Ovis aries: one gene and its partners. The protein of the gene in region 3 interacts with the protein of the main gene of each other region in a biochemical or structural test. Links are inferred from orthologs where the notes say so. Each region holds a gene or a part of one and is shown on either strand. Other genes may lie near its edges.

Region 1 (4,208 bases), on a different chromosome or scaffold from region 3:
TTGTTCCTGTTGAAATGTCAGCTGTCATTCTTATTGCACTCATTTGAAAGTATTGTGTCTTTTTAAAGATTTTTGTGGTAGGTTTTCAGCAATTATACCATGATATGACACATGAAAACCTGTGGATTTCTATGTCTCCTTCTTGGGATTTGTAGGGCTTCATGAATCTGTGGCTAGATGTCTGTTGCCAGTTTTGGAAAGTCTTTGGCCAGTAACTTTCAATATACCAAATCCTCTCTCACAGTTTTTCTCTCCTTCTTTCCTTTCATCTTGATCTAGTCTAGTATTAAGATGATTCTAGGCTGTTTCTAAACACTATCCATTTCAGTTTAGCCCTTGCACTAGGGCATACCTCTTCAGGGGTCTCAGCGGAAAACCTGGTATGTTTACCAGAATTTCTCCTTGGCAGGCCCTCAACTCTGTTTTTTTTTTTTTTTTGGATGGGGGGACTCTCCTCAACACTGTGAGACTCCTGAAATCTCTGCTTGGTCCTTTAGCTTCTTTCTACTTGGCTTCTTACAATGTAGCTTTGGCAAATGCCTTGAGAAGAAAAGCAATGAAGAATGTTTAGCTTATCACTTCATCACTTTTCACATCTTTCCAGATGTGGCCCCTCATGTCCTGAGTACTTTGATTACTTATTGATGCCTTTAAAAAGTTGGGCTTCCCCCCCGCCCCGCACCTTGATTTATTCATTTGTATTTTATTCAACTTTTATAGTTGTTTGGGGAGGAGGTTGATTGGATACCTGCTATGCAATCTTAGCTGGAGTTGGTGCAAAGTTATCATCTTTCATCTTTTTCACCATTTGCATTTTTATCTAGTGAAGAGTAACTGGAAGGTTTAAATGAAACAGCTTGACTAAAGTATTTGGTACAGTATGGGTTCATGCATTTGATTCGTTTCACGTCAATAAAAAGCATATTTGAAGAAGCAGAGAATGAATTTCCTACCTTAATTCCCTAATAGTCCAAAGGCATAGACTTATTTACTGAATAAAGACCCTAAAATGTTGCTACATTTATCTAGTATAAATATAACTAACTACCTTTTCTTTTAGCATGAGATACTTGAGCAAACCAAAAACAGATGTTAAGACTGTTGTAGTTCTGTTGCTTTTAGTTTTTGTTGATTGAGGTATATTTTGAAATAAATATTTTAGAGCCCATGAGTGACTATAAATATAAAATATCACAGTATCTGTTGAGAACTTGAACTTTTTTTGCTTCTACCTCATAACTCGTATAAAGAGTAGCATACTTCGTTTTAAATTGCATCTCAGTTTATTCATCTATAAAATTGCAATGATTGTATTACCTAGTTGAAATAATTATTTAAAGGGTTAAATACTGTGCTGGTCTGCTGCCATAACAAAATACCACTGATGGAGTGGCTTAAATAAAATGCATTTCTTACAGTTCTGGAGTCTGTGAAGTCCAAGATGAAGGGTCCAACCAGTGTGGTTTCTGGTGAGAGCTATCTTCCAGGCTTGTAGGCAGCAGCCTTCTTTCTGTTTCTGCAGGTGGCCTTTCCTCAGTGGGTGCACACATAGGGCAGGAGAGAAATCTCTCCCTTCTTATGAGGCCACTAATCCTCTCAGGTTAGGACCCCACCCTCATGACCACATTTGACCTTAATTACTTCCTTAAAGGCTCCAGGTTCCACCTCCAAATAGAGTCGCACTGAGGCTTCAATATGAGTTTGGTGGTGGGTGGGTGCATAGTCCATTCCATAGCACACTGTAATACATAAAAGCGCTTAAAATAGTACCTGGCCCATGGTAATTGTTTAATAAATTGTGATTTTGTGGTGGAGATGATTTTAAACATCTTTTCCCCTTTTTTCTTTTCTAGGTGCTCGCTTTGGGTTCCTTTTGGAAACACCAGGAATGGTCATTTCTACTTTTCAGGACCTCCGCACGAAGCAGCTAAGGAGAATCTTATGTAGATAAAGTGAAGCCTCTCTCACTGTCCTTCCGCGTTTGGGGACGTCTGTATTTCTCCCTCCACAAGGAGTGTGCGCAGCACCATCATGAACGTGACAAGTTTGTTTTCCTTCACAAGTCCAGCTGTGAAGAGACTTCTTGGCTGGAAACAGGGTGACGAGGAAGAAAAATGGGCAGAGAAGGCCGTTGATGCTTTGGTGAAAAAACTGAAGAAAAAGAAGGGTGCCATGGAGGAACTGGAAAAGGCCTTGAGCTGCCCGGGCCAGCCCAGTAACTGCGTCACCATTCCCCGCTCCCTGGACGGCAGACTGCAGGTCTCCCACCGGAAGGGGCTGCCTCACGTCATCTACTGCCGCGTGTGGCGCTGGCCCGACCTTCAGAGCCACCACGAACTGAAGCCGTTGGAATGCTGCGAGTTTCCCTTCGGCTCCAAGCAGAAGGAGGTGTGCATCAACCCCTACCACTATAAGCGAGTAGAAAGCCCCGGTGAGTGAGTCCGTTCCTGTAGAGGCATTGAGCAGATCTGTGTTGCTTCTCGAAATCATCCCTTTCCATGTGTTTTTTGTTGTTGTAATTTCTAAGAATTAGGGGAAAAGTCATGTCTGTCAGTCCTTGAAAGGGTCATCCGTTCTAACAGCATAGTCTCTAGTTAACTTTATGTCTTGGGAGCAGGGCTGTGAAAACTGTCATGGAGGCATTAATACATCTACCTTTCCATAAATTGGTTTTTTTGCTAAATTTATTCTTTATGTTTCCCTTTGGTTCTGTGCATTTCTCAAGACAGAGGTAGCTATGATTTTATTGCAAGGGAAGAAAATCAGGAAAGAAGCATGATGTTGCTGTCTACATACTTGAGGGTGGTTGCCAGTGACTTATATCACTTTATCCTTAAAAATAGCGCTTTTTATCATCTCCAGTAGAATTTTGTGATGGCATACTCCGTGTGGAGGATATGAAGGAATTATGTTCTGCTGTGGAATCATCTGATACTATTACTTTATATGAGATACTCCTAGTTTTTACATGTGTGACCTTGAAGGGGGTGGAGGAAGCATAATAAAGGTTTAACATTTACTAGGTTTTGACTTTAATTAGACCCACATTCTAGACAGTGGCATCAGTTGGAAAGTGATTAGGCAATCTCAGGCACTTAAATATCTCAGTGTCAGATTGGAATCAAATTTGTTGATGGATTAGTTATTAATAGCTGATGGTTACCAGGTGTTCCCAAATGAGGCTGTGTGTTAGATTCATGTGGCTCTCTCCCAGAAATTCTTATTCTGGCAGAGCCCAGTGATCCATGTTTTTGTTTTTTGGTTTTTGGTCCATGTGTCACATGTACTCCAGATAGTGTTGATAGGGGCTATTGGGTTGGTGTTTGGGAACTATGCTATATCCCATACTAACCTGACTGTCAAATGAAAAGCATTCTGGTTTCTTATGGAATATTTATGACATTTCAAAAGGGAATAATAAGCATCTTTGTATCCACCACCCAGTTGCCTTCAGTAACTACTGTTCCGAATTTGATGGTTAGATTTGATGGACATCATTCCCAGGCATGCTTTTTACTGTTGTTTTGTATGTATGAATCCTTGACAGTATGTACTGGTATTTTGAATAGTTAAAGGTATTGTATAGTGATATTAGAGTATCCTTCTATAGCTTGCTGCATTCATTCAACATCATGGTTTTGTGAGTTCTGTATTACACACTTCAGGGTTACGTTGTCAAGGCCTGTGAAAAATCCTCAGGAGGTTTCATTTGAATTTCACCGATTTCATGTGGGGAAGGATTGACATAGTTGTGCTCTTGAGCATAATATTTTTCTAAATTTATTTAGGTTTTTAGGTTTTCTCCTTGAAAGTTCTTGCACATCTTTTCTTAGGTTTATCAGTATTTCTAGATAACCAGGTTTTATTGTATCCTTTTAAAAGTTACATTTTGTTACAGTTGTTCATGGCTAGAACTGTACTTGATTTTTTTCCAACAATCTTGATGAATTCTCCTTGTTCTAATATACGCATTCTTTCACTGCTTGTTAGATCCACCATGATGTAAATTTTAACATATAATATATACAACAGGGTCATTCAGGTACATGGCTTTTTGATTCCCATAGTAATTTTAAGAGGTACAGAGGGAAGATTCTAATCCCACCTTACAAACGGCAAAACTGAGGTCCCTATAAACTAAGTGACCTGTGTGTCAGACAACTAAGAACTGGATTGAGAAAACATTGTGGATCCGTTTTCTCCAGACC
Region 2 (4,208 bases), on a different chromosome or scaffold from region 3:
TAATCAATGGCAGGGACCCGGCTCACGCCGCAGACAGCACCTGGTGCCTGTGTGGTTGCAACTGCTGAACACGGATGGACACCCGGGGTCGCACCAGCCTCATCTTCTGGCCATTTCACAGGCCTGGACGCTACCGCGAGAAGGGCTAGGAGTTGGCCCATGATCAGGCAGAACCGGAAGCTGCAGGCCCTTTTAGGGGGCAGAGACCAGCACGGGTTACTATGGGGACCTTGAAAGAAAGGCAGGTGGCGGGACCAGACTGCCCTGGACACCCCTGGCCTGTCTGGTGCATCTGCCCAGGTGTCTGTTGGTCCCAGGGCCTTTCAGATTTGGCCTGGCACCTCCTTGAAGATGGCTTTGACCTAAGGCCAGGCGGGGCAGGGCCTTTATGAGCTCAAGCTAAACAGTGCCAAGGCCGGTGGAATGTGTCTCCCAAAACCTAAGGGTTCTGCCCCCCAGATCCTGCGAGTTTTGCACAGGAACAGGGTGGGAGATCATAATGCCTCTGAGAGGTGAGGAAACAGTCTTCCAGGGCATCCAGGGGACCCCACCCAGGAGCCCAGAGCCCCGAGGGACTCCCTGACCCAGCAGCCTGGCCTGTCTCCCCAGACCTGCAGCCTGTCACCTACTGTGAGCCGGCCTTCTGGTGCTCCATCTCCTACTACGAGCTCAACCAGCGCGTCGGGGAGACATTCCACGCCTCCCAGCCGTCCATGACGGTGGATGGCTTCACCGACCCCTCCAACTCGGAGCGCTTCTGCCTGGGGCTGCTCTCCAACGTCAACCGGAACGCGGCTGTGGAGCTGACGCGGAGGCATATCGGTAAGGGGCGGCCGCGATACCCCAGCCCACCCCAGCCCCCGCGGGGACCCACCGGCCGCCACTGTGCCGCGCCCCCCTCACCTGCCCCTCAGGCTCTGTCCCCTTGTTTAGGGTAAGACAGGTAGAATCCAGGTTGCAGCTGTGCCATTCTCTTAATAAAAATACCCTTAAAGTACGGAGCGCAGACCAGTAGATAGACTGTCTCGGAGGAGTGATCTTTCATTTGTTCATTTCATATATAGTTGTCCTAGGAACTTAGAAAAGGTGAAAAGACGGGAGGTATTGCCCACTCCAGGATTCTTGGGCTTCCCTTGTGGCTCAGCTGGTAAAGAATCCGCCTGCAATGCGGGAAACCTGGGTTCGATCCCTGGGTTGGGAAGATCCCCTGGAGAAGGGAAAGGCTACTCACTCCAGTATTCTGGCCTAGAGAATTCCATGGACTGTATAGTCCATGGGGTCGCAAAGAGTCGGACGCGACTGAGCAACTTTCCCTTTCTTTCACTTTCATTGCCTGCAGCTGGGACAGCACTGCTGCTAACACTGTATTCTGAGCCCCAGCCCGTGGTGAAAGATCACTTAGTATAGGGAAGGTGAAGCCTTGATGTGTGTCCCTCGGTTTGTTCATAAAATTATCATGCTGAGGATGTTCACAACTTTGCGATCCAGGGTCACCTGGAAGGGTTGTAGAGATGGTGTAGAGAGGGTGGGTATTCTCAGACATTGTTCAGTGCATCCACGGTGGCCGAGGGGCTCTAGAGCAAACTCAAGAGCTGAGCAGGGCAGCAGGGGTCCGGGCCCATGTGAACCAGAGCACCTCTGCTCTTGCTTGTATCGTGGGCCTTCACAGAAGACCTCGTGTAGAGAGAGGGTTTTCCAGGTAAGAGTTGGAAAGCCATGGGCCTGCAGCAGTGGGATCACTTTCCAGGGAGGGGCAGAGGGCACACAGCAAGCGTGTGACACAGAGACCTCCGCCCCAAGCCCGTACCCTTCCCAGACAGCCTCCCACTTGTTTTAAAAAGACCTGCAGTGGTATACACAGAGGTTTGTTTATTCACTTCATACTTCTCTGTATCTAAAAATAGTATTTTAAAAGTTACCCAAACAAACATTTTTGTTCTTTGGATCTTGTCTTCCCACCTCCACCTCTGCCTCTGCCTCCTGCTCTTGACTGACGTAATACTGGGCACCCCCTCCCCGGGTCTGCCGGCACCCTGGGGTCTTCGAGACGCCAAGTCCTGTAGCACCGAGCCAGGCAGAGCAGGGGAGTGGGGGCAGGGGACAGCCGTGGGACGAGGTGGCAGGCCTGTAGCCGATCACCTGCTTTCCATCCCACTCCACGTCGAGTGAAATCTGGCTCCATTTCCCGGCCCTCAGGGCCTCTCCCCGCCTGGAGTGGGAACAGAGGCCTTCCAGGCAGAAGAGTACATCCCCTGGCCGAGGATTGCTGAGGATTGTTGGAGGGTTTATGTAACCGCTTGAATTGCAGGGCCAGTTTAAAAATAATTTCTGTCCATCTGGAGTGGATTTAAGAGATGAAGGAACACGAAATGATGTAGACCTATGGAATGATTTAGAAAAACGCATCGAGAGGAGAAAGGTACAGGGGGTGGCGTTAATTAAGCCATGCCTGCAGTGAAGGGCTCCTGGGGTGTCTGCTGCCTGAGCAGCTCTGCAGGTTGACTACATGAGTTTCCAACTACATGAATGTTGGAAGGGGAAGGGACCTAATAGTAGCAGCAACAGCTACTGCTCACCAGGCACCCGTGAGGTAGGTATTATCATCATCTCCATCTTGCAGATGAAGAAACTGAGGCTGAGTAACTGGCTGGGGCCTGTGGCAGATCACTGGTGGAGGCTACCATTAAGACTTACCTGTGCTCTTTCCTCTCATTGTCTGCCTCCCTAGTTTAGCAGCCCAGCATCACCCAGCACCTCCTGGTGGGATTAGGCCTGGACTCAGGTCCCGTTTGCCTGGTGATGCTACTGGAGAACCAGCCACCTGGAACACTGACTGCAGCTCTGCCTCCTGTGGTTGCTGCGGCGGGCGCCAGGACCACTGTGTGGGGGCCAGAGAGCTGGTCCAGGCTAACCTGACTCTCTCTAGGGCGGGGCGTGCGGCTGTACTACATCGGAGGGGAGGTCTTCGCAGAATGCCTCAGTGACAGCGCCATCTTTGTGCAGTCTCCCAACTGTAACCAGCGCTATGGCTGGCACCCAGCCACCGTCTGCAAGATTCCACCAGGTACCACCACCTACACACCCACCCCTTCCCTGTGGACCTCTCCTCTGCGGCGCATGCCTGGGATGCCGGAAAGCTTTCTTCTTCCTTCTCTCCTCATTGGTGTTTGCACTGACAATCTGGAGATGCTTCACTTGAGTTTTCTCTGTGCCTTGCTGTCTTACCGTGACCTCCTGGAACCTCCGCAGAACAGATGCAGCATCTGACAGGTCTACCTTTGATCTGTGGGTACCTGTTTCCTGCCTGTGTGCACAGATGCTGAGGTAGTATGCTTGTTTGCGTCTTTCTTCCCTTCCTCCTTCCTTCCTACAGCCATGCTGGAAGCTGCAGGGGGATGGGAGGGTACAGGAAGCCCTGCTGCTGCCCTCTCAGTGTACCCATCAGCTGAGTGTACAAGGCAAAGACTCAAATGTGCTTAATACAAGGGAGGGTGGTGCTAAGCACAAAGCAAGCAGCACAGGTCACATGCTGTGGGACCCAGGGGGAGAAGCATTTACCTGTTAGGATGGTTCAGAGGCGGCTTCATGGAGGGTAAGGCATTTGAGCTTGCAAGGAGCCATGGGCCTGCACCAGTGTGGAAGGGGTAGGCACAGGGTGATGGGGGCAGGGGCTGAGGGCATTCCAGGCAGAGGGGATGATATGGGCAAAGGCCTGGGGGTGAAGGAGGGCAAGGCACGTGTGGACTGCACTCTGGCTGTGCTGGAGGCTGTTTAAGACAGTTGGGGATATGTTTAGAAAATAGGATGGGACTGGGCCATGGAAGGACACGAGATCACGTTTACTCAAGGGGACTGTTGAGGGTTTTCTGAGTAGGACTACGTACTCCACGGGGTGGAGGACTCACCTGGCTCACCTCAGAGGGTGGTGTGGACAGGGCCAGCTCTGGGTAGACGACCAGGCAAGAGGCTGATCTTACCTAGAACCTTGCATAGAAAGCCGAGGCAGAAAGCCCCGAGGCCCCTCCTCCCGGGACACGCAGCCGCAGAGCATGGACTGCGCCCGGCAGGTGGATTGTGTGGCTCAGGCCATTGCCTCCGGCACGAGTGCGGCATGTCTTCCTGCCTGCCAAGAGGCAGATGATGGTGGTGCGGCGGGTTATGGGCAAGGTCAGTTGAAGAATGCAGTTTGAGACGCTAGTGGTGCTCTC
Region 3 (4,989 bases):
TAGGTGGTTGGGAACAATGTGTGCCATTAGAATAAGGCAAATGTGTATGTATACATCCGTTTGGTAAGTTTTATTGCCATTATTCGTCTAGTCTTTTAAACTGTAATGGCAACCATTGTTGAAATTGTTTAATGTATTTTCAGAGCTTGTGTATCACAAAGAAGAGTTACTGCACATAGCAGGCACTCAGCATTTGTGGAATGAATTTCTAGCACTGTCTCCTGAATTTCTAGTCCGACTTCCGGAACTTTACATAATTTTTGCATCAGTTTAATTTGTAGGACTGTATCCAGATTGATGAGCTTCCTTATGGGCTTCCCTTGTGGCTCAGGTGATAAAGAATCAGCCTGCAATCTGGGAGACTTGGGTTTGATCCCTGGGTTGGGAAGATGCCCTGGAGAAGGGAACAGATACCCACTCCAGTATTCTGGCCTGGAGAATTCCATGGTCTGCATAGTCCATGGGATTGCAGAGTGGGACAGGACTGAGAGACTTTCACTTCACTTCACTTCACCCAGATTGATGAGAAGTTCTTGGAGGTAACTTGATCTGGAGAATTAAATGACATTATTGATGAATTAAAAGAGACAAATGACACAGGATTAAAATATATCAGATTTTATTAAACATTTAAAATTGCAATAGTAGTAGCCTTAAGCAAAACAGCACACACAAAAAATCCTCCATGTACACTTTTGCATGCATAGATACCACTTTTTATTCTGCTTTTAAACTTTGATTATTTATAAACTCTTCCATATTATACGATCTTCGTAATTGCCACTTAAATGGGGGCATTAAAACCTATGCGGTTGATGTAATGAAATTCGCCATTAGACTGTCAGCTCGTCTCCCTTTTGTTATTAACCGAATTTTGCAAGAACATCTTTTGTACTATTATATCAAGAATAAATTCCTGAGTGCAATTACAGGGTCAAAGGGTAAGGTACATTTATTTTTATTTCATTTTCTATTTTTTTCCTCCTGAGATAACAAAATACAGCCCTGTACGAAGAGCTTTCATACATTGCTCTCAAAGGCTTATCTTGTTAATTATCCTTTAAGGCATTATCATCCGCCTATCCCTGCGCTACAGTTGAAAAAAAGAGCCCAAGCAGGCTGGTAACCTGATCTCGTTCACCAGGTGAGTCCTGGATGGAGGTGGAAACTACGCTACCAGGAGCAAAATACCCTTAGGGATTTGCCGGAACCCTCGGTGTGGGAAGAGCCTCTCCTGCCTCACTCCAGCCGAGGCTCAATCCGGACCGCAGCAGGTTCGGTTCTAACCGCTGGCCCCTGCCTCTCAGAGAAGCGCCCTGCACGCGGTGGGCGTCTAATAAAGGCAGCCTGTATTTCGCGGACAAAAGCTCTCCCTTAAGCGGGTTGAACTCCAGGCCCTCCTGGCACCACAGAGGTCGGCGCCGCCACCCAGATCCTTTGCCCGCTCCTTCCTCAAGTTCTGCGTGGGACAGCAGGGCTCACCAGCCCGGACCGCCGCGCCCAGGCCGAAGCCAGGCCTGACGCCTCCGCCCCCCCTCGGTGCTCCGCGCGCTGCCGCCCAGGCCCCGCCCCCGGCCCCTCCCCGCCTCGTCGGCCCCGCCCCCGTCTCCACCCCGCCCCCCGGAGCCGCTGAGTGGCGGCGGCGGCCCCAGGACCGGGTTTCCTCAGACAAGAGGGCGGGTGGAGGAGGAAGCGGCCGAGCCCAGAATCCTGCTCCGGCGCCGCCGAGCACCGCCCGCCACAACCGCCCGGCCCCGTCGGCTCCTGGGCCTCACCGAGCCGAGAAGAGGGAACGGCAGAGGAGGCTGCGTGGAGGCGGCGGGGGCGCGGGCGGAGGCGGCGCGGCCGGCCGCGGCTGCCGCTTTGTTGTGCGGCCCGGGCCAAGGAAAGAGAAGTGGGAGGAGGGGGGAGCTCGGCGTCCCGCTCCCTCCGCGGCTCATGGCGACGACGCTCGGCACATCCGGGACCCTCCGGCCGTGGCGGCCGCGGCGCCGGCTGCTCGGGCCCCAGCCCCGGCCGCTGTGGTGACTGCGCCGCGCCTCACCGTCGCCCCCGCCCCGCCCGCCGCCCGCCGGCCCCGGGCCCCGGGCCCCGCGCCGCGGCCGCAGCCCCGCCGCCGCCCCCGCCGCCGGGGACATGTCTAACCCCGGGGGCCGGAGGAACGGGCCCGTCAAGCTGCGCCTGACAGGTGAGGGGGTTGGGCGGGCGGCGGGAGCCAGGCCGGGGCGGCGGCGGGGTGGGCGAGCCGGCGGGGGGTGCCTGTGGCCTTGAGAAGGGCCAGGGTCGCGATCAATGGTGAGTGGGAGGTCGGGGACGTGGGAAGGCCTAGTTCAGGGAGAGTAACTGCAAAACCAGTCTCCCTCGTTGGGAGATTCTTAGAAAAGCCAAGGGTGACTCGGGGGTCTTTTGTTGTTGTTGTTGGGGGGGGGGTCCCCCCGTTGGAATTCCAGGCGGATTTGAGGTCGAAAAGCCTTGGCCGAGAAGCACGACTCTCTCCCGGGGCGTCGGGGAGCAGCCCTTGGGCTGCTGCCCAGGTGGGGTCGTGGAGGGGATGAGGAGCTCCTGTGGCGGGGATTATTGAATCCGGCTGCTGACTGCGCGCAGTAAACACTCCTTAAAGATGGAGCGCTTAACGGGAGGGTGTGTGTGTGTGTTCCCCGGTTGTTAACTTGTTCGCCCACTTATGCCCGCGTGCAAAACCTTCCCTCTCGGCTGCCAGGCGCAGCCGTCGGTTCCACACACCTGAAACGCACGACTTTATAGGGAAGGAGACCGAGGTTGACTTTTCCGGTGTGTCTGCCTGATCCGACGACTCGCGCTCATTGTACCCTCTGTGTTTTGGAAGTGTTTGATTGTAGGGTAGTATGTTTGGGGTTGTTCCTTGTAGGCCGCAGAACTTGTGTCTCGCTTCTAACTCTAGACCTGCTTTAAAAACACACTTTTTTTGAGTCCCTTTCTAAGTTTGTGCTCAAACGGACTTTGAAGCAGAGTTTTTCTCTCTCTCCCCACTCTCCTCCCCTTCCTTTTTCTAAATGGAAAAGAATGTCTGGAGGGGTTGCTGGATAGCAGGCTTTTCTTACGAAGTGTTTATGATCCCAGGTGTGTTAGATCTTTAGTGTTACAAGTACATTTTTGATCTTACATGGTCGTTTTACCCCATTTTAGGGAAAAATTATTTGGAGTTTGAAACGTGTAAATGAAACCATTGTAATTCTGGCTTCATTATTCGCTATTAATAAATTATGCAGGTTGATATTCGGATATGTGGCGAGAAAGATGACTTTCCTTAGAGAATGTGTGTGTGTGTGTGGGTGCGTGTGTAAGAATAAACTGTAATTATGTTTGTCTCCACTAGACTTTGAGATTTATATGGACTAATTTTGTAATTGAATGCTTGTCTGTTACATCCCAGTCCACTGGCTGAACTTTCGAGATAAAAACTTGCAGTGAATTAGGTATTCGAGAATTTAGCCTGACTGTATGTTGGCAGCAATTTTTAAAATATATTACTTTCATGACAGTTTTACTTTCTCTAGAGAATATTGCAAAGAATCATTAACTGAGTGGTTCTTAATGGAAAACCTGGATTGGGGGATGCCTGTCTCCCCTACTTCCCCCCATTCAGTTTCCTTATTTTCTTAATCAATGGAAACCTTTGTAAGGGACCTTTGTCGTAGAGTTTATCTACTGCTGTTCCTCTGTGGAGTCAGTCTTGTGTCAGTGATCATGGAAAGAACCTGTGATTCCAGGTGTGCAAAAGGCATCAGAAATAGCCTGGTGGCCACTTAATTCCTTCTAGGTTATATACACGATGAGAGCATGAGGGAGAAAACAGGGCTCTTGACTTTTTGCAGATAAAATGAGTTTGAGGTTTTTAATGTGATTCAGAAGATCTTGAAGTGTTTATCTGTGGTTTTCTTCCTACATATGATACATTATAAAAATTCATGAGTAAAGTTAGGAGAAAAGATTACACTTATTTTTGAAGGGATAGGGAATACTGGGCTAAATCTATAGAGTAATTTTGTATTTTTAGATTTTTCTGAGGAATTTTAAATACACTTTGTCCCCTTAATTGTAAAAACAGTTTTAGATACTCTCAGTTTCTTAAAACCATTGGGAATTTGTCTCTGTCATATTTTAAGAGAAAACTATTTAACTATTAAAAACTTCGCCTTCTTCCTTTTGGTTACGAATGGTAGAAGTCCCTTCTGTTTTGCCAGGAAGGTTAATATGTATTTTTTCATTTTTGTCCACTTACAAATTAGATGGTATAGATTTTAACAAATAGATTTTAAGAGCTGGATTCAATTAGCAGCTTTTTAGGACATAAACATTAAAGAGTTAGATGGAAAAGATTGTTTTGACTGACTGGATAAATGACAGGGCTGTGTTTGATGTGCGTCCAGGAATTGGTCTGGAGCTGGTGCCCAACTTTTCAGTCCATCTTGAGAAGCCAAATAAAATATTTAACCTAGGCCTCATTTTGTTTAAAAAAAAAAAAAAAAGGTTGATTCTTTGTTAAGACCTTAAGAAATGTTTGGCATACCTTTAGACTAAGTGTTTAACAGTTCATTTAGATCTGGGTTCCATAATAGAGGAAAATTACTTTTAAAAAATGGGAGGAGCAAATCCCATAGTGAATTTTTATTTGGATTACAGTATACTTGAACTGTCAGATGATGTAAAATAATTGTTCTTTGCTTTAAGTTAATACCATATTAGTATTTTACATTTATAGACTGTCTTTGATTTCAAGGTGCTTCATGAATTGTAGTTACTCAGTTATGTCCTTCACATAGAGCTGCCCCTTTACTGAAAGATGTAAACAGCTTTTGCATGGTGTTTGTCACAGATATACACACACACCCCTCCCCCCACATATACATTCTCACATGTACGCACAAACTGAAGGAAAAATATTTGAACCATGAGATCTCTGCACACAACAGATATTATACTTTTCCACATGTTATTCCTAAGACTACA
Region 4 (4,208 bases), on a different chromosome or scaffold from region 3:
TGAGTATTTTCTATTCTTCGGATGATTAATAAGTAAAGTGACTATATATATTCTGATTTGCTTGGGACAGTGCTGGTTTATGTCTCTTGCCCTGGCAGTGATTATTTATAGCATTATAAGTACTTTGTTAGACTTAAAGGATTAAACAGTTTTCAAAATAATAGATGTCCAAACTTAATACTCGTTCAAAAAGGAATCTAGGTTTTCGTATATACAACCTATTGATTTATCTTAGTTCTTCCATATCCCTGTTATTCTTTTGGTTTCGTAATTATTTTCTTTCATTCTTTTAAACAGAAGGCAGACGGTAACAAGCACTCCTTGCTGGATTGAACTTCATCTGAATGGACCTCTACAGTGGTTGGACAAAGTATTAACTCAGATGGGATCCCCTTCAGTGCGTTGCTCAAGCATGTCATAAAGCTTCATCACCAATCAAGTCCCATCAAAAGACTTAATGTACCAACTCTTCTGTCATAGTATTTGTGTGTGGTCCCCGTGGACTGTTTACTATCCAAAAATTCAAGAGAAAACAGCACTTGAGGTCTCATCAATTAAAGCACCTTGTGGAATTGGTTTCCTATGTTCGAATATTAGATGGGAAAATTAATGTCTAGAAATACTCTCCCGTAAAGGAGGAAGAGAAGATTTTAAAGACTTTCTGATGTCTTGTTGGGCATAAAACTGAGTGTCCCAAAGGTTTATTAATAACAGTAGTAGTTATGTGTACAGGTAATGTATCATGATCCAGTATCACAGTATTGTGCTGTTTATATACATTTTTAGTTTGCATAAATTAGGTGTGTGTGTGCTGCTTCTTGATTTAGGCAAGCCTTTATAAAGTTACAGTACCTAATCTGTTATTCCCACTTTTTTGTTATTTTTGTGTGTCTTTTTTAATATATAATATATATCAAGATTTTCAAATTATCATTTAGAAGCAGATTTCCCTTGTAGAAAAACTAATTTTTCTGCCTTTTACCAAAAATAAACTCTTGGGGGAAGAAAAGTGGATTAACTTTTGAAATCCTTGACCTTAATGTGTTCAGTGGGTCTTAAATATTCATTCTTTCTGTGTTTGTTTACTTACTGCTAAATCTCATTATAAGGAAACTTTATGGAAATCTTTCTAAACCTCTCCTCCATTTCTACTTTTCCATCAAAACAGTGTAGCATGACATCCATCACCATCAATGGTTGTACTGATACTGCCAGCACCAGTTAATTCTCGGTACAATGATAATTCATATGGAGTAAGTCCCTTTTGTCTTACACCAAATTTCAGTTTCAACAGTTAATAAGAGGCTTGTATAACCTGGCAGTCTTTTGATTTATCTTTACACCTCATAAAAAGTGCACAGGTGGCAGTATAATTATTTTCAGGGATATACTGCAATTATTTCAATATATTTATCCTTTCTGAAAATTCAGTCTAAAAATATAAACCCCCTTTTTAAAAGATACTTTCAAATATTTCAGTAGCAAACCTCTTTTGAGTTGAATTTCATTGGATTTAATTACCAGATTGTGTTATGAAGTGGACCTTTTGTAAATGTAATTGCTTCTGCAGAATACCTAGAAAAGCAGTGCTGAGGTCTGATCAGCAGATAGGGGCCATCTGCTTTTAAGGTATGTTGTATTAAATTTATAGAATCTGTGTTATTTTACGTAATTGTGAATTCTGAATTGTAAAATTTGGGGGAGAAGGCGTTTAGCAAGTTTTTTATCTTATGGATACCTGTGGTCTGAGCTGTTCTTAACTAATCCTGAATATGTGGTGACGGTTAGAAGCCTCCATACTTCATGCTCTGCAGGGACAGGCGTGACCAGAGGTGTCAAAAGCTCTGTTGGAAGTCATTCTACAGCAGATAATCCTTATTTTACTTAGTTTATTAACTCATTCCAGTTTAAACTTTTCTTGTTTGCATCTCAGTAGAAACAGCCAGTAACCACTCCTGGTCCCTTTCTAGTAAGTTTTCATATTTTTAAAGACAGATTATCTTTGGTTGGTACTTGTGTTTTATAACCATATTCACCTGTATGTACAGGGGATGTTTTCAGTACTTTCCACACACGATTGTCTTCTGTCGGATGTTCCCCGTTTTCCTGTGTTTGTGTAGGCATGTATATGTTCATGTGAACGTGGTAGAGTGAGTTTTCGTTCTACAGATATTTATTGTTCACCTGTTACATGTGCCAGGAACTTTCTTAGCCTTTGGGTAAAGGTGAACAAGACAGCTATGGCCCTTGCCTTTGCCAAGATAGCAGTTACTCTAACACTTAATTAGCATATTTGTCTATGAAGGAGATAAACAGGGTACTGTGATAGAGCAAAGCAGAGGGAAAGCTTCTGTAAAGTAGTGATGATTGAGCTAACACATGAGAAAGGAGCAAGCCATGTGGAGAGCCCGGGAAAAATAGGCATTCTTGGCAAAGAAAATGGCATCAAATGCAAAGGCATATTTTAAAGGAAACTCATCATTTATTAGGTGTTTATGCTTTATACAAAAACCTCTTCACAGATCCAAACTTGAGGATCAGATTGGTTCTACAATTTATAATAGTTGAAGGTGGCCTTATTTTATAATGGACTGCTTCATGTGTCATTCTTGTTAGTATTTCCTCTTCCTCAAGTCCTTACTATAAAAAGTTTGCGCCAGGTCACTGCCATTTAATGGAGCAACCCTTTCTTTAATTCTGCCTTGGGCAGATTTTCACGACTGTAGCAGCTGGCTGCCTGCTTCCAGGCGTCCTGCTGCCCACTGATTACTACTTGTACAGCCCGCCTTGTGGATGGTATAAAAGTCCCAGGTATCACCACCGTCAGACCTGTTGAAAGTGTGGAGGCCCTGTCCTTTGTACTTGAGAAGTCGTGTGATGTTAGGGAATACTGCTCCTTATCTGGGGTCAAAGAACAACTCAAAATGGTAGAAAGTCCTGGCTGGTACTCTTGCATTGATAGGTTAAGCAAAGCAGTACCGTCTATAGCGTTTCAGTAATGGGTCACATCTCTGCAGTTATGGTGGGATTCTTACACACAGTATGAAGCTGGGACTCAGCTCTTTGGAAGCACCTATTGTATTCAGTAGTTAGGCCAGTCAAGCAGTTGACTCGGTGGTGGTGGTGGTGGTGGTGGTGGTAGTGGTGGTTACATTTGTATGAATATGTTCAGTGGTCTTAATTTGCTTTTTAATGAGATGCTGGTTTTACTTTTTGTTTTGTCCACTGTGGCCTAATTTTTGCTGATTTTTTTTTTTTTTCCCCTTTACAGGGTTTGTTTTCATTTTTCTAATTGATACAATCTCCTCTTTGTAGAATTTTTTCTTTATTTAAATTAGCATCATTTAGAATTTCTTCTACACAGTGCTGGTAATGTCCTCAGTTTAACAACATGAGAACTGAAGGATCATGCCTTCTATCACATTTTCAAAATAAATGGTGGTTTTCACACTGGATTACATACATCTTAGGGCTGGTTTAGGGAATTGGAGGCTAGTTTATTCCCACTGGCTTCGGCCTGGCTGGCCAGTGGCAGCTTCATTTTTATTCTGTATTGGAGTTCTACATAGATTTCTTTTTTTAAAAGTTTCACTGCTTAAAAAAAGGTTGACTTTCCTGACTGGGTTTGAACTACACCATACTAACTAAGTGTAATTGCACGTTATGATATACCTTCATTCAATGAACACTTACTGATGCCTGTTCTTTACCCAGCCAGTGTGATAGATGTTGAGTGGTAAGATGACTGGGATTTGGTACTGACTCTTAGTCTTGTGGGATTACTTTCTCCCACAGGACCTGTCACTTTGTCAGAAGAAGACCTGCCTAATTTTTCTTGAAACCTAAATATTCTTGTTCTGTATTCTTATTCTGTATTCTGAGTATATACTTGCAAGTTGTTAATATCTTAAGGTTTTTTTTAAACCTTAAATCATATTTAAGGTTTTTGCTTACTTCATCTGTTCTTTAGACATTGCCAGATTTTCTTCTTTGTTAAAATTATTTCAATTTCACTTTATTTGTGCCTTTATTGTCAGTTTCATCAAGACTAAGATTTTGAAGGTGAAAAACAATCAGTCTAGTCTCTTTCTAGTTCAAATCAAATCAAAGAGTATGTGTACCCAGTTGGTTTCTCTACCTCTTCCAAACACTGTCCAGATATATCTTTAACATCTTTTTTAAAAAAATAATTAAATACTTTGAGCATT
Region 5 (4,208 bases), on a different chromosome or scaffold from region 3:
GATCTAAACCCTTTGAGACAGTTAATTCTAGAGATCTATCCTAGAATATGTACCTCACTTCAGCTCCCAGAGTTTTATGCGCAGAGATAGTTACCATAATTTTAGTTAGTGAAAAATAATAATAGAGGAATACTTTGGTAGGTTATATAGGGATTAAAATTGTTTGCTAAGGATTTTAGTGATATGAGGAAAACCTTATCCGTTTCTTAACTTATAGAATAATTGTACTAAGTCTGATGAGTTAAATATAAAATTTTACTTCAGGGAGATTTTTCCTTCAGAGTTCATTATTGTTTGAGAATCCCTGAGAACAACTATTTTCCTTGTAGGTTAAGAATGATCTTTACCAACAGACATAAAGTAATTTATTATGCTGTGCTTGGCTGTTTGAGCTGTAGCACCATTTAGGTTTAGTGGTTCTGTATTTACATGTAGTTATTAAATTGAAAGCTGTCTGGGCTTACACTGAAAACTCAGTTCAAATAAAATTAATCTAACATGGTTTCTTGTCTACTAAAGTTTCACATCCTCCTTAAGGTGTCTTCTGTAATATGTAGCTGTTTTACAAGCACAATTCTAGCAGTGAACTTGATTCCTATCTGATACGTTTCTCTTCGTTGATTGCTCTCAAACTCTTCAAATTCCCAGGTGATTGAAAAAAGAGATTGTAGCAGGATAATGCTAGGAAAAAATTCCGTCTGGATGCTTAGGTGATAGAATGACAGGAAGCCGTTTTTGTCTGTTCATATTAACATTGTCTTTGTAATGGGGATTTTAAAGAGTATTCTAGATAGATCACTTGTCTAAAAATGCTTTCTCATTTCTCTCCCTCACCCCAACAGGTGTGTGATCTGTATGATGGACTTTGTTTATGGGGACCCAATTCGATTTCTGCCGTGCATGCACATCTATCACCTGGACTGTATAGATGACTGGCTGATGAGATCCTTCACGTGCCCCTCCTGCATGGAGCCAGTTGATGCAGCACTGCTTTCGTCCTACGAGACTAATTGAGCCAGGGTCTCTCATCTGACTTCAAGTGAACCATCATTTTTGGTGGTTTTGATCTTTTGTCACTGAGCCCAAAGAGCCAGGGATTAGGAATTAAGATCATGCACAAAAGTTTCCTAAAATTTCCTGAATGGCTGCAGATGTTGGGGAAAAGTACGTGATATTTTAGAAACTAAGGGGGAAAAGTAGGATGGTATTTTTATGTAAAGCCTTGACCCAGTGTTTAAAAATATAATTGTATTTAGATCTTGTTATTGCTCCAGTACATAGGAATTGTGTAAAGTGTTACAGCAGCTGTATATGTTTCAATTGTGTGTGTCAAAGATTAGGAAAAAGATAGTGGTTGTTTTTTCCTAAATGAAATAACTTTCTTCTTCTCCCCCACCCAAATTCTTTTCTGAAGTTGCTGGCATTTGGGTCAAGGTTTTATTAAAAGCTACATTTTATAACACTGGCACAAAAAAAGTAGTTTTAAGCTTGTTTGCACAGTTCTTTTTTTCCATTGGAAATGGAATTCATTGCCTTAGGTCTTTTTTAAATAGTGTATTATTATCGTTGGGGCTGGCTCTATGCTTGAAAACCAGTTTATTTATAACCTGTTATAAGTGCTATATCTGTTTGCAGTTAGGAAATGCAGAATTCAAAGTGATCTCCTAGCTTGTAAGCAAACTGAGATGCACTATCCCTTTTCTATTAAAAATCAGTTAATGTGTCAAGAAACCAACTCTAGTAAAGTCAGGTTTAATATTAGCCTTTCTTATGTGTTTCATCTAATTATTTTGGTTGTTAATAGGTGATAATTATTTTGGTTGTTAATATGGTGATAATTAAAAGTCAAGGTAAATTTTAAATATTAGGAATTCTGATTTATTGAGCTCGAATTATGCCACCATGCTTATGTAAAAATGAAAGTGGCAACATGGTTAAACTGAGAAAGTTTCTCAGTTGTAACAATTTTGATTTTCTCTCTCCTGTGACCTTCTTCCCTGTTGTCTTGAACCATAGCAAAAGGATACTGCATCTCTTGTTGTATTGCTGAGGTTATTGAAGTTACACAAAACACATCTCAGTCTCTGTTTCTTAGAAGGAAAGTCCTGCTAGTTGACTGACAATTCTAAACAGGGAGAATTAAGATAAATGTGTTTAATTAATGTTTTGCACACAAATGCAGAATTTGTATAACCACATGACATCATAGTTGTGATCTCAAAAAAAAGACTTTCTCCTTTATCTTTTTCTTGCAGTTAAATGTAGGAATTCTCTGAAACTCTAAGCTTCTGAAGTGTTAGAGGTAGAGATGGTCTAGCAAAGATGTAGTTTGTAATGTTTTATCCATTTAGCATGTGTTTATTTTTTGTTATGTACTAGAAGATGACATATTTGTTTGGCTCAGTGATAATTACAACTAAAAAATCATTCATTAGCGAAAGGAGAAGCAATCTCAACCTTAACAAATCAGAAATGTTTCTTATTTTGTATTGAGTTGAATATTTGACTCTTTAACACTTTTCTACATACAAAACACAAGTCAAGTCTCTTGAAGGGTTCTTCATAATTGTATTAAGAAGAATTTAGTATGTCAGAAGCACTTAAAGATTTGACATTCAACTGTAGCAGTATCTATGTTGGTTAATTTTCTTATGAGCCCCATGATGAGTTTGAGAAAAATTGAAAGAAATTATAGATTATCAGGTTCTGTTAAATTGTTACATGTATCTTCCTTAAGTTTTTGTTCATTAATTTATATCCAATTACATAAAGCAAATTTGGAGGAAACACCTGAAGTTGTGCAATATTTTCAGCAATATTACTTTTTTATCTTTGTGTTTTCTACTTAAACATGATGTCTGTCATCAAGTATTATAGTCAGACTTTCTTTTTTTCTAGATTGTCAAAATTGGTAAATGAACATTTTTTTTAATCATCTTCTATGTTGCTATTAGTCTTTCTTTATTAACAAGGTTTCTTTTACAGAAGTTTGGCAGTAATATTGAGGGAACCAGGATTGAGCTGAATTTTTTTTTTAATAAGGTACTTTGTATTCTTTAATTTTGATCTCTACATACCATGTTAAGAACCATCAATTATGGCTTTTACCAAGTTAAATAAAGTTATAATACAGTTGTAAAGGGCTAAAGTTAGAATTGATTACATAAGAATCAGTTCTCCCAAGTTATCTAATCCTTCCTTCAGAACACACATGTACAAATTTAATTAATTGCCTTTAGTTTTCTAGGTATATATATAAACTTTGGGGGAAGTATTTTTTATGGCTTGGCTTTTACTATCATCTAATCATAAATTTAGAAGGTTGGTAGCTTCTATATTTTCTAAAGCAAATAATAGGCATATTACCCTGTTATCCGGCATAATTGGGATTGGGTAAGATGTGTTCAGGCTTGGCTGTAGGATTTGAAATGTCTGAAAAGCCTGACCAGGAAAAAAATAAAAGAATCTTATTCTTTTAAATGTAAACCATAGAAGAAATACTTTCAGATACTTGGAGTTTGGTTCACACAAACTTTTTAAATGCTCTGAGTGTTCTTTATAAGGCGTCTCTTAAAACAGGTATTGACTCTCCAAACTACTTTCAGTGTCTATATGACATAAAACAGAATATAGTGAGCATCAGGGTAACAAATTCTCTATGTGCAAACCTCCTCTTTAGGGAAGCATACATTTTTAAAAAGGATTAAGAATAAAGGAATACAAAGTAAAACTGCCTGTGGTCCTTAGACTGAAAATGGCAAACAGAAAAGGTAAGTTTTTTGGCATAATTCATAAATGTAGACAGTTGGTGGCCATGTTTGCTTACAAAGGCATTGGCTAGCAGATCAGTTTCTCAGAGTCAACTGAGGACACTTGACACTTGCATGTTAAGTGCATCATAGCTAATCAGCTAATTTTTTAAGCCTTTAAATTTGAAATCGGTGGACATGAGAAAAAGTGGATTTTGGGGTAGTATCTCCTGAAGTAATGCTAAACTTACTCACCTGAATTTAAAGATCAGCTATTCTTTTACTGGGTAGGGGAAAAGTTAGGTAGTCTGTAGCCCCTGCTTGTGTCCCCTGTGTAGCTCCCCTTTTCTAGACTTCCCGAAGACTCAGGCTCGGTGCAGGTTGTCCGTTTCAGGGTCATTCAGTCGTATTCTGACTGCCTTCTGTTACTCCTTTTGAGGACATAGTTTATTTAATTCC

What was found.
Region 1: the proteins of SMURF2 (region 3) and SMAD1 form a complex in vitro, tested with the Homo sapiens proteins (2 studies listed by BioGRID and IntAct, with this or other methods). The link is inferred for Ovis aries from reciprocal best matches to the Homo sapiens genes SMURF2 and SMAD1.
Region 2: the proteins of SMURF2 (region 3) and SMAD3 form a complex in vitro, tested with the Homo sapiens proteins (2 studies listed by BioGRID and IntAct, with this or other methods). The link is inferred for Ovis aries from reciprocal best matches to the Homo sapiens genes SMURF2 and SMAD3.
Region 4: the proteins of SMURF2 (region 3) and SMAD2 form a complex in vitro, tested with the Homo sapiens proteins (3 studies listed by BioGRID and IntAct, with this or other methods). The link is inferred for Ovis aries from reciprocal best matches to the Homo sapiens genes SMURF2 and SMAD2.
Region 5: the proteins of SMURF2 (region 3) and RNF11 form a complex in vitro, tested with the Homo sapiens proteins (3 studies listed by BioGRID and IntAct, with this or other methods). The link is inferred for Ovis aries from reciprocal best matches to the Homo sapiens genes SMURF2 and RNF11.

Annotation. Positions count from the first base shown.
Region 1 is NC_056070.1:12,846,870-12,851,077, reverse strand, and holds part of SMAD1 (mothers against decapentaplegic homolog 1), read left to right. Parts: exon of another isoform or gene 1-1,600; intron 1,601-1,853; 5' UTR 1,854-2,031; coding exon 2,032-2,431; intron 2,432-4,208. UniProt on the Homo sapiens protein: Transcriptional modulator that plays a role in various cellular processes, including embryonic development, cell differentiation, and tissue homeostasis.
Region 2 is NC_056060.1:13,982,828-13,987,035, forward strand, and holds part of SMAD3 (mothers against decapentaplegic homolog 3), read left to right. Parts: intron 1-609; coding exon 610-822; intron 823-1,849; exon of another isoform or gene 1,850-2,926; coding exon 2,927-3,119; exon of another isoform or gene 3,120-4,208. UniProt on the Homo sapiens protein: Receptor-regulated SMAD (R-SMAD) that is an intracellular signal transducer and transcriptional modulator activated by TGF-beta (transforming growth factor) and activin type 1 receptor kinases.
Region 3 is NC_056064.1:48,569,565-48,574,553, reverse strand, and holds the start of SMURF2 (E3 ubiquitin-protein ligase SMURF2), read left to right. Parts: upstream 1-1,666; 5' UTR 1,667-2,136; coding exon 2,137-2,188; intron 2,189-4,989. UniProt on the Homo sapiens protein: E3 ubiquitin-protein ligase which accepts ubiquitin from an E2 ubiquitin-conjugating enzyme in the form of a thioester and then directly transfers the ubiquitin to targeted substrates.
Region 4 is NC_056076.1:47,828,884-47,833,091, reverse strand, and holds part of SMAD2 (mothers against decapentaplegic homolog 2), read left to right. Parts: intron 1-297; coding exon 298-421; 3' UTR 422-4,208. UniProt on the Homo sapiens protein: Receptor-regulated SMAD (R-SMAD) that is an intracellular signal transducer and transcriptional modulator activated by TGF-beta (transforming growth factor) and activin type 1 receptor kinases.
Region 5 is NC_056054.1:25,720,053-25,724,260, forward strand, and holds part of RNF11 (RING finger protein 11), read left to right. Parts: intron 1-842; coding exon 843-1,014; 3' UTR 1,015-4,208. UniProt on the Homo sapiens protein: Essential component of a ubiquitin-editing protein complex, comprising also TNFAIP3, ITCH and TAX1BP1, that ensures the transient nature of inflammatory signaling pathways. Promotes the association of TNFAIP3 to RIPK1 after TNF stimulation.